Linked DNA regions of Lonchura striata. The protein of the gene in region 2 interacts with the protein of the main gene of each other region in a biochemical or structural test. Links are inferred from orthologs where the notes say so. Each region holds a gene or a part of one and is shown on either strand. Other genes may lie near its edges.

Region 1 (7,381 bases), on a different chromosome or scaffold from region 2:
AAGGAAGGTGATCCCTCCCCTCTATTCTAACTAGAACTCAGACCCACCCAAAACGCCGTGTCTAGTTTTGGCTCCCCTGTCCAACATGGGCGCACTGGAATGAGTAAAGAGAGATCCCTACCAGACTGGAGAATCTGACATGGGAAGAAGGGCTGAGAGGGCTGGGATTGTTCAACCCAGAAGAGGCCCAGGGGAAGCCTTGTCAAGGTGTGTGAATACCCAAAGGGGACAACAAAGAAGATGGAGCCAGACTTCCCTCAGCAGTGGCCCATAAAAGTACAACAGGCAACGGGCACAAACTGAAATACAGAAAATTTCCTGTCAACAAAAAGTTACATTCTTTTAGTACCACACAGCAGACAAACAGGGGAATAGCTTTGCCACGAGAAGCTGGAGTGTCCATCTTGGAAGATAACTGAGAATAGTCTGGTCATGGTGCTGAGCAACCTGCTCCAGCTGATCCTGCTTGGAGGGCAGGCTACTGGACTAAATTGTCTGCAGTGGTCCTTTCTAACCTCAGCTATTCTGCAGACACAAGACAGAAACAACATGCACTTCATACAAACCTGGTCTCTTACATGTTTCCCTGGAACAATCCAAAAATTGCATTTCCATGAGAAATTACAATCTTATTAGATCTGTTGTATTTTCTCTGACAGAGATGCCAACAAAAGAAACCAAACACTTGCTCAGAGAAGGCACTGACATATCCTGTGCTTCTACAACTCTCCTGTTGCAACTTTTTTTTAAAGCACTAGCACATCAGCTAAGCCAAAACTGCTTGCCAACTAACAGCCCAGAATATTTTCAAAAGTGATCATTCCTGCTTTTGGGTCTTGCATCTTCCACTTTTGGGATCTTCACATATACAGCTTGCTATCACTTTAATAATTATTCATACTTTAAAAATATGGATGAATTATCCAGCTTCCTGTCATCACTTGTTTATTATTTTCAGAAAAGAACTCTGATAACAATGTTTGCATTCATTCATTTTCAAATTGCCAGCTTTCATCTTACATGCTCTCATCTGAGACTAGCAGAATTCCCCATCAGTAGGATTAAAGAAAAAAAAAATCCACAGCAGTTTGCAAGAAGAATAGCTGACAACCTTCTTGTCCTTGAGAAGGGACTGGAGGGTGTAGGGGGGAATATTCAAGAATTATTTTGTACACTTAAAGAGCTTCTCTAGATTCAGCTGAAGAACTGTATTTACTTCCCCTGAGCCAAACTGCTGAAGAAGGGCTCAAGTATTTCCACTCCAGTAGCAACCACAATTTAGCTCTGGAGCAGGGATTTCCCTCTGCAGTTTGAAGCACCCTTTCACATGGAAAGCACTCTGTGGAACACACTGTAAATGTAGAACTATTACACAACTATTATCTAGTGATGCTGGCATGAGGAAGCTAGAGGGAAGAAACAGGAAGGATATAAATACAAGTCTGCAATCTTTTCTATTTTACTCACATAAGGGAAAATCACCAGAGCTCCAAGAGCTACATCTGAGCTACTGTGCTGGTGAATAAAAAAAAAACCAAAACCCAACAGTTATACACATTCATTTTACACAGCATTTGAATAAACTGGAAATAAAAATTCAGATTCTCAGTTTCACAGAAACTTGTAGGCACTTGACTCCTAAAGATCAAAATGAGATTTCACATCAACTTACTTTAGTAGACTTTAGCCTTACTGTTCATTTCTCTGTGCTGCTTTTCCACCTTCACCAGTAAAATGTTTTGATATATGACTCACAGCTGAGAACATTTCAGAGGACACATTCAAAAGATTTGAGCAGACACTGTTCTGGTAGGTTTTTTTAAACAATGAAAAATGTTACCAAAGATTACAGGAACAACCCAGAAGTTGAATGGCTGCTGGGAAGAGTCAATAAACATCACCTTTGCTTAGAAATTGAGAGTTTCAGTGCAAGGGTGTCTCACCCTCTTACTATTTAGCTTGCTAACTTTACAAACAACATTCCATTCTGTTATGTATATTTTTGTTGAGGTATTTTAGGGGAAAAGAATGCCTGTGAAAATAAAAGAATTAGTCCAAAATATTCTCTACCTTTTAAATAGCTGGCACCTTGACAATTCATCTTAAGTCATAAGCACCACAACAAAAAACTCACTGATCCTCACTGCCAGTAATTTTTCAGGAATGTAGCAATCAAATCTGTGGTAACAACTCTAATACACCTAAAATGCAGTCTTAAAACGATGTTCTTAGCATTAAATGCCTTCACATTGTTCTGGCTATGGGAAGTGCCAGAGAGCTCTTTACAGCTATTTTAAAATTTAAGCCTGATGCTGTCAGGTTCAAAGTACTTCTGGGCGAAAGAATGGAGCCTTCACATGTAAAAGGAGAATCAACACTTTGTCCTTCTCCTTCTCAGACCCGAGCAGAACGGAGCTGGTGGAGGAGGACATGCACAAGAAGAACATGGCCAGAGAACCTGCAGAACCAACACTGTAAAGAGCACACAATGCTCAGCGTGTGAAGGACAGCATGATCACAGCACAACAAAGTTGACTTTGCACAAACATCTTCTACAGATGGCAAAATGTGGATACGCTGACACGAGAGATGTCTAAAGAAGCATTCTGCAATAGAGATCCTTCTCCCATGTCCTTTCCACAGCTGCTGCTATTTATGTGGTAAACCTCCTGTATACACAACTCGAGACTTCAAACAAAGGTTCCCGTTGATTCCTATGAGCATCATCCTTGCAGTTCAACAGTTCTCGGAGGCACTGAGCGTTAAGGTCATCGCCGAGTCCTTCACCTGCCTCACAACACCTGGTTAAAGCCCAAGACCACCTATGCAGCCCTGGAAGACCTCCATCCTGCAGGCAGACACAGTATGTCAAGGAACAGCTTTTCCCAAACTGTATTTTGGCTTATTCGGCTCCATAGCCCTCCAGTACGTCTGAACCTTTTTATATTTTAAGCTCATCTCCATCTTCGGGGGACCAAGCAGCCAGGGAACCATATTACACTGCCACCTCCACTCTCTCCCCTTTAACACGTCTCCTAACAACGCCACGTAGATCCAGATAATCACCTGGGATGAGCACGTCAGGCAGTCCTCGGCGTTCCTGAGGGAGTGCATTCCACTCACACGCCCCAAACCCTCTCCCCCAGCCCGGCTCCGTCCCAGCCCGCTCCCCCCTCACACCGCCCCGCGAGCACAAGGACCTCACTTCTCTCCCAGCTCCTTTCCAGCTCCTTCTGTGTCCCCAGCGTGGCCCGGGGGCCTCCCCCGTCCCCTCAGGGCACGGAGACACCAGGGAAGAGCCGCATATTCCAGGCACGTCCCTCTCCCTCCGCGGAGGGGGATGGGAACAGCAGCAGCGGAGCGGCACCAGCCGAGACGTCAAGCGGAGGAAAAACGAGGACAGGCGGGAACTACGCGATGGGAATCGCTCCCAACCTCCATCCCGCAGCCCCGGGGCTCCCGAGGCGGGGAGAACCGGGGGTAGAAGGGGCTCCCCCTCAGCGCTGCTCGGGCGGGACGCTGAGGGCGTTAACGCGCTCCCCCCGCGCCGGGGGGCGGCCCGGCACCCACCTTGAGAGTGGGGTACTCCTGCACCTTCAGAGTCATTGAGAGCTGAGCGGCTGATTCCTGCACCGCCATCTTGGATCGGGCACCGGCCTCCCCCGCCCTCCCTGCTCTCCCTCCCGCCCTCCTTCCCAGCGCGTCCCGGCGGGAGCTACCTACGGCGCGCGCGGCATACCGGGAAACGGCGCGCGCCCCGCCCCGGCCCTCATGGACGCGGGCCGAACCAACGCCGCGCTCTGCCCCCCCCCGCCACCGCCGCGGCTTGGTACGCTCCGCGGGGGCGGAGACGGAGGGAGAGTGACGGCGCGCCGGCCAATGAGCGGCTCGCTCCCTCACGTTCCCCCGCCGGGAGTGTCGGCACCGCCCCAGGGCTCGGAGAGCCGCGCCTGAATGGGCAGCGGGGAGGGAATGGGCGGGGCCGCGCCGAGGCGCGGACAAATCAAAGGGGACTACGGCAGCGGGATAGGCGGGATTTGGGGCGTTATGGACACCCAGCCACTCAGTGGAGGCAGAGAGCCGTTTCCCATGGCCCAATCAGAACATGCTCTGGGACTCAGTGGGCGGGGCCTAAAAGTAAATTTTGCTGGTGACTTCAAACGGCCGTTTTAACACCCCCGAGGTGTCCGGGAAGGGGAGGGGCGGGGCGCGGGGCGGGACGCGCTGTGATGGACAGCGCTTCCAGCCAATGCTGTCGCTTCTCGAGTTGACGGGCAGGCTGCTGAACCAATGACCGGTGCGTCTGGGCGGGCGGGCGGAGCGGCGGGCGGCGTGTGGCTGTGTGTACATCGGGAGGGGCGGGGCCGCCCCCGTGAGTTCCGCGGGGCGGAGGGAGCGAGTGGGAGCCAGTGAGGCGGAGACGGCGGGAAGAGGTTTAAATAGCGGAGACGGCGGCAGCCCCCTGCCCTCGGCTCCCCGGGCCGGCGCCGAGTTTCCCCGGTGAGCGGAGGCGTGGGGCGGGCGCAGCTCCCGCCGCAGCCGGGCCGGTCCCGCCCGCCCCGCGGGGGACGGGGTGGGGAGGGGGGCGGCTCCGCTCGGCCGCCGGGGTCTCCGGTGGTCCCTTCGCGCTCCCGCAGCCGCGCCGGGGAGCGGAGCTCGGGCGCCACAGGTGCGGGGTTCGGGCGGCTCCGGCCGGTCCGGGTGTGCGCGGGCTCCCGGCGGGCTGTGGATCTCCATGGCTGCGCTCGGAGGCTCTGCGTGACCCGCTGACCTCTGGCCGGCCCCTGTAAGGTGACAAGCACCGCTGTAAGCGAGCAGTAAGTCCTCTGCCGGACGTACGTGAGTGTTTCCATTAAAAAGAAAAACAAAAAACCAAACAGGGACGCGGTCCTGCAGAGTTTCTACTTGTGTGTGCGAGGGAATAAAGACGCTCTTGGAGTGTCAGTCCTAATGTAAAGCTGCTTTCTGGGTAAGGCGTAGAGGGCAGTGTCTCGGTGTTCGCTCCTCGCTGGTGCTCCTCAGTGGTGACACGGGCACTGGGACAGAACCTTCATCACCGCGAGCGTGCAGCAGAGGGGAAATGTGCCCGCAGCACCTGGGCGTGCAGTAAAATACTAACTTCATTCTGCTGCTGCCGATGTCAAAAGTTAAGTTTCTTGATGCACTGGCAGCAAATGTGCTTCAAGCAGTGTGCTGCTTGAGTTTGAAGCTTTAAAGAGACCCTAAAACCTGTATCTATCAATAACCGTGATGATTTTTTTTTCTCTCTAATCTTTGTGGCTATATTTTTACTGGGCTGCAGAAGACTGAGGGAAAATAAACACCAATACTTCCAGGAGGAGCGAACACATTTAACTTCCATGGTTTGAAAGAGCAAGTATATTTCTGAGAATATTTGGTGGCATTATTTCTGATGTGCATAGACCTCATTGCACTGAAAATATCTGTCCAGGAATGGGGGTAAATAAAAGGGAATGTGGGAAGTCATGTAGTTGAGTGTTAGATTCTCTTTGCCTCCCAATTCTTTTTACTGATACTTACTCACAGCTGCCCTAGCATTCAGCCTCGTGCTGACCATAACCAGCAAATGTATGCCTAAACATAATTTACCAAGCCCATACCAGTTGCAAAGCCTTTGTCTGAGAAGTGTGTTAGTAAAACTTTTGTGCTAGTTGCACCTGGGATTAGCGTTCGTGTCTAGACATGATCTTGGGACCAGATCCTGCAAGAGGATTTTTATAAGGGGGATTTTGACTCCATTAAGGCTCTGTGCAGGGAATGGTTCATCCTGGGCTGCTTGGGTGGAGGATCGAAAACTTTGCTCAATTGTTGCTGTATTTACAAACATAATTATGTGGCATTGTAAAATATTCCTGTTCTTCCTGTCTGTCTTAAATATCCTGTAAGCTAATATTTAGAAGGAAATTTGCTCTTGAGTATTCTGTGTGATTATGGTACTGAACAGCTTGAACCTGTCATACCTTGACTCTGTGATGGTTATAGGGATTGAAGAAGTGTGACTTGCCATGAAGTTGATCAAGTCATGTACATATTTGTCCAAGACACTTATTTGCAACAAGTTTTGTTTATATATAATCTCTTAATAGTCCTGATAGTTCTGATAATACAGTAGCTAGTTTAATGTAGCACAGATACTCTGTGGATACAGGTTATGTGCTCAGACTGTCTTTAAACTGGAGGGTTATTGGTGAGGCTTTCTCAGACGTTAGTAGCCAGAGCTAAAGGGGTTGCTTGATGGAACAGATGGCCAAGCAACCATCATGTCAGAGGAAACAGCATGCATTCGTGTATTCTTAGTTTAACACAAGAGGGAGCATGTCTAATCTTTAACCTTTAAATATTGCAACTTCAGGGAGAAAGCTTGAAGTGTTGAGTGTCAACTAATTTACGTTCAAGGCTCCATGTGCAAATATTGATACAACCTATGCATATTTCTGGCATGTTTTCAGCTGTAGTCTGCAGCTGTTGATTTATATTGTAAATGTTGGCATGATAAATGTGGGGATGAGAACTAAGCTAATGATCTTATGAAGTTGTTAAATTCTGTAGTTTCCTGCTAAATTAAACAAAATATTTATGGCTATTGTTATTCTTGGGTATGGTCATTAATGTACTATGGTTGTACTTTTTTTCCTGAATATTAGGCTAATATATGTCCTCTGCTTAACCTACCATACAAACTTACAAAGCTGAGTCTTAATCTAATTAAATTTAGTTTAATTGCCTATATGCCTTTGCTTTTAGAGTTCTTATAAATCCTACCACTTTATTCTTCAGTAGGAAGTATGAAGTTGGATCTACTAAGACGTTTGGTACTGTATCTTCTTTAGTTTTTCCTTGTCCACTGGTGTCATAAAAGGTAGATGAAAAATCAGCTTCCATTTTGTATTTCTTGGTTGTCCAGTTGAATCATAATGTGTTAATGTTTGTCCTCATTCAGTGTCTTGTTAATGTGAATTAGCAATTAGTTTAACTTAAGCAGTGTGCAGAGAATACTCCAAACCTTTAGGAGAACTTCACTCATTTTTTTTCCAATAGCCTTCAGCTTTGCTCCAGATTAATGATCAGAGAAAAACATTAAACACTGCATGCAAATGATGTATCTTTCAGGAACACAAACATTCTGTGTTATTTGGTGGAGCAGAGCAGAAACCTCAGTGCTCTGCTTTCATACGCTGAAGAAAACTGCTGTGAATTGAGATTTTACCACACTTGCTTCTCTTTCCTCTCTGGGGCCATTATAACCCCAGTGCCAGGAGGCAGAAGTGGGTGTGTGTCACCATCATTTCTTGTATTTGCAGACCAGACTGGCCTAAGGCACGAATATGAAGGCCTGTGCTGGTTCAGGTGGGAAGGAGCA
Region 2 (7,913 bases):
TGTGAAAACAAAGCTGTGGAATCTGGTAACTGATTAACTACTGGAGCACAGTACTGGCTGAGCTGAATAGAACGGAATGAAGACAGGTTTTGTCATGCCTGTTAGGACAAAATAACTCTTTAACTTAAGTAAATGTGAATCTTCTCAACATCTGTGTAGCTACATTTTTAAAAGCCCTCACATAACTATTTCCGTCTCCTAGGAATTCTTGATTTTGTCTAACTTTAAGCAACACAGTTACCATTCTCTTTTGCAATGGAAAAAAAACCCCATATCAGAATCAGTGGATACAAACCACTAGATACAAAATGTCTATACTGGATTATGTTAGATTTTATGGTAGTCACACAACAAGAAGCTTCAATTATGTTTACTGCCAGCTATTTCCAGGCTGATGCTAAAATTAATATTATTCTTTTGTAGAGTGCCAAGAAAAAGGCCTCCTGGGCTTCTTAAAAAAAATCAATGAATTGAAATAATTTTCTTATTAGCAGCGCTGTAGGTGTGTGTATATTTTTTTCCTCAAAGTGTGGATAAACAGAAAAGAACATAGGAAAATTTGGTAGTCTCACAGAGGCTGATAATATTCATCAGGAAAAAATGTTCAATTTTCTTATATTCTTGGTTGATTCTGCTATCAAATATGTAATGAAACTTACTAAGGGATAAACCATTCTCCAAATAAAATTACAGCTGGCTGAACTGTATAGTTTGCACAAAAACTCTGTGTAGAGCCCCTAAAATGCTACAAGATAGTGTTGATTTCTAAAGCTATAGGATTTTAACACAGAACATATTAAATAGATTTAAAATTCAAACTAAATAAACCACTTTTTCAAAATGCTGCTTGCCATCCCCACTCCAGTTTATGTGTTCAGTTTTATTTGGGTTTTCCTCAGCTGCCTTTTTTTTTTTAGGGGGCTGGATGCACAGGGGCTATTGTTTGGGGATTCTTTTCCTCAAATGGTAAGTATTAATTCCTATATGTTGCTTCTTTTCTGTCCCTGAATTCATGTTGTTCACTACAGTAAAAGGTAGGTGGCATGATTTTTTACACGGATCTGTTAACTTTTACTTCAGCCTTCCAAAGCTGAGATAAATACGTGTAACTACTCAAACTGGTCATGTTACCTTGAGAAACATCAGTATGAGCAAAACATTGTGTTAGCATGCAGCTAACACAAATAGGTGCTGCTGCTTAGAGCCTGAAGACCAGGAACACTGCACTGGGGTCCTGCAACAGCATCCCTCATGTTGCCTTTTTGTTTTTAACCCATCCATCAAGTCTTCCTAAGAGACCTGAGAGTTTGAGTTGAAAAAGCCCTGGCAGTTTCTAACTATAGATGAGGGGCAGTGAAAGCACTTCAAAGAAGAGGGCTCCTTAAAATGAACAGCATTACTGGCATTGGGGAATTTGATCTTGGCTCAGTTTCAAACATGGCTATACAAGCCCTTGAGAAGAATCAAATTCAACTAGTGGGGTGATGGAGTGGCTCCTCCCTATTTTTCCAGAGAAGGCAACCACCTGTGCCAGACAGCAGTGGTGGTGTCTGTTGTCTATGTGCCCTCCCAGCTGTACGAAATCATGCTACTCAGAGCACTTCCAGTTCCTACACTTCCAGTTAAATCTCATTTAGGTAGCAGCTCAACTGTGCCATATACTCATATTTGCTGCATCTGAAGTTGGGCTCCTTTGATGTCCTTATTGGCAATTGAAACATAACTGAAACTAACTGAAAATTGATAGTGCCACCTACTATCATAGGATTAAATTGTTGATACCATCCAGGTCTAAAATGGACTAGGACAAAATAAGATTCCCTTTTTGCAGAATTGCTCATGGATAAGTGTTCTGTCACCTAGTTCAATGGGCCACAGTATGGGTTATTCTGAAATCTGGACACGAGCCATGACACCACAGGAAGTTTCATATCTGTTCAAGCGCAGCAACAGTGAAGCATTTTTCCCACAGTTTTATTGTCTAGGTGTGTGTGTTTACTCTTACGAGGTGAATGAGATGCAGTTCCAGTCAGACTAGTCATCTTAAGACACTCAGTGTGGGAATGTGGAATATCAGACTCTCCAGTAGTTTTCTAGCACATTCAATGACCCAGGAATCTATTCAGTGGTCAACTATGTGATTACAGAGTACATAAAATCAAATAAATGTGGAAGAGAGATAAAATAAAAGTTCAACCGTTAATGTTAATCCCTTTTCACTTACTGTGGAGTAGATAAGGATAGCACTGTAGAAGACAGAGGATTTATATTGCTGTAAAGATCAACATGAGAGAGTATGAAAACAAACAGCTCAGAGTTTATTGGGAAATAAAATGGATGACATAATTATTTGCCAGAGTGCTTCCTATAAATAGTAAGAAAGGTACAGTTTATGGTAAAATATCTGATCAATCAGCCAGAGGACTATTTCATTGTTACTTATCAGATCTGTGTGTAGATTTAAGACATCTGCTTCTCTTAACATGAGGAAATGATTGCTTGCCTACATCACAAACTTTTAGGTTACAGAAGTTTCAAAAGTTGAATGAAAAGCTGCCAACAAGCATTATTTAGAAAGACTGGAGTGTCTATCACAGCCTATTATGGCATGACAGCTTCTTCCAAAACACGTAGGTAATTTTAGTTCCACCATATGTCTACTAATTTGATAATGGATTAAACTTACAATTTGATCTTACAATAAGTAATCTGCTGCTGAGCTCCTGAACAACACATTCATTTTATTTAAGTCAAAAACCAAGTGGTTAACAATGATGAGGAATGAGCAGAAAAGAACAAGATTTTTTCAAAATACTTCAGAATTCATGGTATGTACTTGATGGGAAATCAACAATATTCTCAACAATGGGGAACAATAGATTTGAAGCTTGAATCATGTGTCATCTCCTTTCTGACAGTACTTCAAAATACCTCAAAAATGTTGAAATAGTATTTCAGATCCAGTTTTATTTATGCTGCAGCTCCTTATTTATGATGTTTTCTTGAGACCTGAGTGATCTGAGTAATGTAAAAATAATTAGATGGAACAGCTACTAACAATTATGAAATACCTGAACACTTAACTTTTTAAATATTTCTATTAACGATCTAGAAAGTATATGTTTGCAGCACTGTCCCTTCCAAACTGATTACTATTATGTCTTCTAGTCATGCCACCAAGATGTCTCTGCAAGAATTCCTATACATACCAAAATGGTCCAGTGAAATCATTTAAGGCAGACTAGTAATAGTGAAAAACTGTGTTTTGTTTCTATTTCATCACTAAGAACTACCTAAAATCAAGGGGTTTATCTCATTGCAGACAGTAGGGCTGGTCCCAAATAGGGGAAAAAAATAACATTGAGAAGTAACAAAAAAGTTCAACAGCCTTATATTGTACTAATTATATGTGCCTACTGGTTTGCATACTTACCTAACACAAAAATATGCCTAGGCTGCTCTGTGGTACAGTAAAATGACAAGTCATAGAAACTGTTAAGGTCGAGAGAGTGGGGGGAAGCCCCCCCCTCCCCCCCATACTTCTGTGTGTAAGCCCCAGCAAGCAGATTACAAATCCTGGGGCACAGATAGATTTAACAGCACAGCCTCAAAGGCAAGGCCACTTCTGGAACAGTTGTACACCCTGGTGATCCTCTTGACATCTAAACCAGCAAGAGTTTCTTTCAGGAAGGCTGAGGCAGCATTTGTTTCAATGCAGGCTCCCGCACACCCCCTTGCTTTTCCAGAGTATTCTGTGCCTGCTGTGACACTGAACTGTGGCACCAGCTGTGGCCTGGCTTGTCCCCTTGGCTTTCTTCTGGCAGCTCTCTGTGGTAGCCCCAATTAATGGGCCAGAGAAGAGGACTGAGACAACACCTGGTGACATCGATGAACAAACATGAGCCAGCAGTGCCGTTAGGTGGCCAAGAAGGCTGATGGCATCCTGGCCTGTGTCAGAGAAAGTGTGGCCAGCAGAATCCTGTACCTGGCACTGGTGAGGCTGTCAGGCTTGGGCCCCTCAATTCAGGAAGGACACTGAGGCGCTGGAGTGTGTCCAGAGAAGGGCAGCAAAGCTGGAAAGGATCTGGAGAACAGGTCCCATGAGGAACTGCCGAGGGAGCTGGGGCCGTGCAGCCCTCGGGAGGCTCAGAGGAGGGAGCTGGGGCCGTGCAGCCCTCGGGAGGCTCAGAGGAGGACGCTGGGGCCGTGCAGCCCTCGGGAGGCTCAGAGGAGGACGCTGGGGCCGTGCAGCCCTCGGGAGGCTCAGAGGAGGGAGCTGGGGCCGTGCAGCCCTCGGGAGGCTCAGAGGAGGGAGCTGGGGCCGTGCAGCCCTCGGGAGGCTCAGAGGAGGATGCTGGGGCCGTGCAGCCCTCGGGAGGCTCAGAGGAGGGAGCTGGGGCCGTGCAGCCCTCGGGAGGCTCAGAGGAGGGAGCTGGGGCCGTGCAGCCCTCGGGAGGCTCAGAGGGAGCTGGGGCCGTGCAGCCCGGGAGGCTCAGAGACTTTACCGCTCTCTACAACCATCAGGGAGGAGCGTGCAGCCAAGTGGGGGTCAGCCTTTTCGCCCAGGCAACAAGTGACAGGACAAAAAGAAGCGGCCTCAGGTTGCTCCAGAGGCGGTTTAGGTTGGACGTTAGGAAGTTTCTTCACAGAAAGGGTGAGTAGACATTGGAATGGAGTGCCCAGGGAGGTGGTAGAGTCACCCTCGCTGGCGGTGCTAAGGAAAGACTGGACGTAGCACTTAGGCTGGACTCGATGGCCACTGTTGTGTTCCACCCAGCGAGTCCCGTGACGCTGTGACTGTCACCCCCGCACCCGAACCCCCCGCGACCGCCCGGCGCGGGGGCTCGGACCCTCACGCTCCCCTCTCTCGCGAGAGCAGCGCGGAAGCCTCGCGAGAGCGGCCCGCGGCCCCGCCTCGCCGGGCAGGCCAGGCGCTCGCTGCGGCTTTTCCTTTTTTCCCGCCGCTGGCGCGAGGAGCCGGCGGGAGCCAACCAGGTAACGGCGCGCGCTCTCCTCATCCCGCGCCGGGGAGAGACCGCGAGCGCCGCCCCCGCCCCGCCCCGCCCCGGGACGGCCCCGCCGCGGCCCCTCCGGCCCCGGTCCCCGCCGGGGGCTCCTCAGGCGCTGCCCGCCTGCCCGAGGGAGCCCCGTTCTCTCCGTCTGGCAGGCTCCCGCCGCTCGGGAGAAGCGGCGTGTGGGACATGCCATACCGCTCCTCCGGCGTCCCGGCTGCGGGGTGTGACCCGAGCCTGGCGGGAAGCTCCCAGGTGTTGGTCATGGCAGGATTTCCCAGAGCATCCCGGCGTGTCTCTCGAGTGAGTTTTCTGTGCGGTGTTCGTGCAAGAGGGGAAAGAGAACGAAGCCCACCGCCGGGAAGTGCAGGAGAGTTGCGTTTGTAGGAGCAGCCGGTGGGGACCACGGCGCCGTGTGCTCCCCGGAGTCCCGGAGGGGCGGTGCGTCCCCGGCCGAAAGGCATCAACGCCGATAAGCAGCCTCGGCGCGTTCATCCGTGCTGACGGACTCCCGCAGGCAATCGTTGATGAAGCCCTGGAAAGCCTGACCGTGCCGGCGGGAGTTGATTTGTGGAAGCAGAGGGAAATGGACGCGTTTAGGTGGTTCTGTGAAAGCGGCAGTCGGCAGGATAGCAGCAAAGCAGGACATCCGGGAGAGGGGCTGGCGCTGTGCTTCCACCCCAAGCAGCTTCCAGTTCTGTCCCTGCCTGCAAGTGTCCGTACATCCAGCCCTGCTGTTTTTTCCCCTAAGGACTGGAAAGCAGTTTCTTGGGGCTGGAGACTAAGCCATCATTTTTACACTTGTGCAGCTGCCCAGGCCTGTCAAAGGCTCGACTTGAGCGCTTCTTGCGAGCCCGGTGTTTTAAGAGATGTTGAACACCTGTAGGGAGCAATGTATCATTTTGGTATCTTGAAGCTTGGGAAAATGCTTTGCTCATTTTTTACTATTTGTAGTCGGTTGATGTCCGAATAATTTGCAGAAACTCTGAGCGGGTTTTGTGCATTTTTTTTATTGCAGTCATCTTAGGGAAAAAAATCCAAAAAAACCACTACAGACACCATTTACTGTCTAGACTCAGGTGACTTTTTCATGGAAATGAGTCATCTGACATACTTAAATCTCAAACAGTAAGTGAAACAAGCATGTGGTTTTCACTGCCCTAGTGCTTGACAGAAAAAAAGCTTGATCCTGAAACATCTGTTGAAGGTGCAAAGCAAGAGTTTAAATGCCATTCCTAATGTCACTAGGCAGTTGGTTCCACAAAGAAGTGTTGTAAGATGGTTTAATGTGGCTGCACACAAAGTGGAGCATTTCAGCTGCAAAGATGCAAGCAAATCACTGTCCAGCTTATGTTGAAAACGTGTAAGCATTGCTAATTTCAAAGGGTAATTTTATTTTCTACTAAGGAGTTCTCTGAACATTTGCTAACATGAAGCCATATCCTGAATTTGCTAAGGACAGAGCAGGTTAAAGCAAATGTGGAGCTGCTGGCTGCATTATTGTAAGATTTAAATATCCTTATACTATAGAAAACATACAGTTCAAGTGTTTCTGTTGAGAATATTGTTTTGTTCCATTGTAAAGACAGCCAGACTGAACAAAAGTTACTTAAAAGCGTGCACAGAGGAGTGAGACAGGAGAGTGGAACTGAAGCCTCCAGGCCCTACACTTGATCACTGACCAGTGGACTGAACAATTTATTGTGGTGAATCTGGGAGACCAGCTAAACCAGTAGCTGCATTTAGATACTCTTAAGTTGTTTAAAGGCTTTCAAGATGGGAAACGCAGCTTCTTGACTAGTCACAGACCATGTATCATCTGAACTTGTACCTCAAAAATTTTAGAGCAAATTGTTCCTTCCATTTGGCAGTATAGGCATGATGGTTTGCTTGCTCAAGTTGCTAATTTAGGAATAGTATGAAATACCTAGCTTTTTTTTTTTTCTTACTGCATTTTATATTACAATATCATAGAGATAGATATGTCCACCTGGTAATGAACAGTCCCTGTTCAGAAGTGTTTGTTTAAAATTGACTGCATAAAAATGAGGAATATCCATTTTCACACAGAGGGAACTGAAGGACAGAGATTACAGAAGTATTACAATATTGGACACCAGTAGTGTCCAGTAGAATTGAGTATTGGACACCAGTAGTGTCAGTAGAATTGAATCTTGCCTTGGCTCAGAACCAGATCTGAGTACCGTGCTTCCTCTGTAGTTGGCCTGAGGGCATCATCCCTGTAAAAAACCCTTCAAAACAACTGAGAATTATGGGTAAGATTATCCTAAATTTTGTAGGCAGTCACGCTTCTAAGAGCTATATGACTTTGATTGTTCTTCTCAAATATTGTTTTGGAGATTTATAGATTTTTGTGATTACTCTCCATTTTTTTTTTCATCAGGGAATTGGAATAATTTTAATATAGAATTATGAACACTTCAAGGGGATGTGAGTTTTTCTTTGCAAAAGGATGTAATTTGAATTTGAATCCAAATTTATGTAAACGATGTATATAGACAAATCCATCTCTGATAAAACTTTTGACAAATGCTTTTGCTGACAGCCAGATTTTGGCACTATGGCTTACTTTTGGAAAACAGGAATTCGGTATAATTCTATCTTTATATAAGAAAAAAATAAAGACTCTTAAGTGGTTTAATCTAATTTTAGGTTGATAACTTTTTAAGGGGAAGAAAATTCTGTTAGTTTGTAATTATCTGCGGCAAAATACTTAGCAGTGTCCAAGCTTTCAGGGTGGTTGTCAGTGTGAAAGTATATAAATATGTATCCTCAACAAGGATAGACAGTAAACTTTGTATTTCATCCATGGCTACAAGTGGTGCTCTGATAAATTCAAATGTGTTATCATTCTGTTGTTACAGACATACGCCCCTCTTC

The links.
Region 1: the proteins of RBBP8 (region 2) and CTBP1 form a complex in vitro, tested with the Homo sapiens proteins (3 studies listed by BioGRID and IntAct). The link is inferred for Lonchura striata from reciprocal best matches to the Homo sapiens genes RBBP8 and CTBP1.

Annotation. Positions count from the first base shown.
Region 1 is NC_134606.1:7,055,820-7,063,200, reverse strand, and holds the start of CTBP1 (C-terminal-binding protein 1), read left to right. Parts: upstream 1-4,376; 5' UTR 4,377-4,500; intron 4,501-7,381. Other genes in the region: E3 ubiquitin-protein transferase MAEA, read right to left, coding at 3,571-3,639. UniProt on the Homo sapiens protein: Corepressor targeting diverse transcription regulators such as GLIS2 or BCL6. Has dehydrogenase activity. Involved in controlling the equilibrium between tubular and stacked structures in the Golgi complex.
Region 2 is NC_134603.1:47,357,190-47,365,102, reverse strand, and holds the start of RBBP8 (DNA endonuclease RBBP8), read left to right. Parts: upstream 1-4,904; 5' UTR 4,905-4,995; intron 4,996-7,897; 5' UTR 7,898-7,913. UniProt on the Homo sapiens protein: Endonuclease that cooperates with the MRE11-RAD50-NBN (MRN) complex in DNA-end resection, the first step of double-strand break (DSB) repair through the homologous recombination (HR) pathway.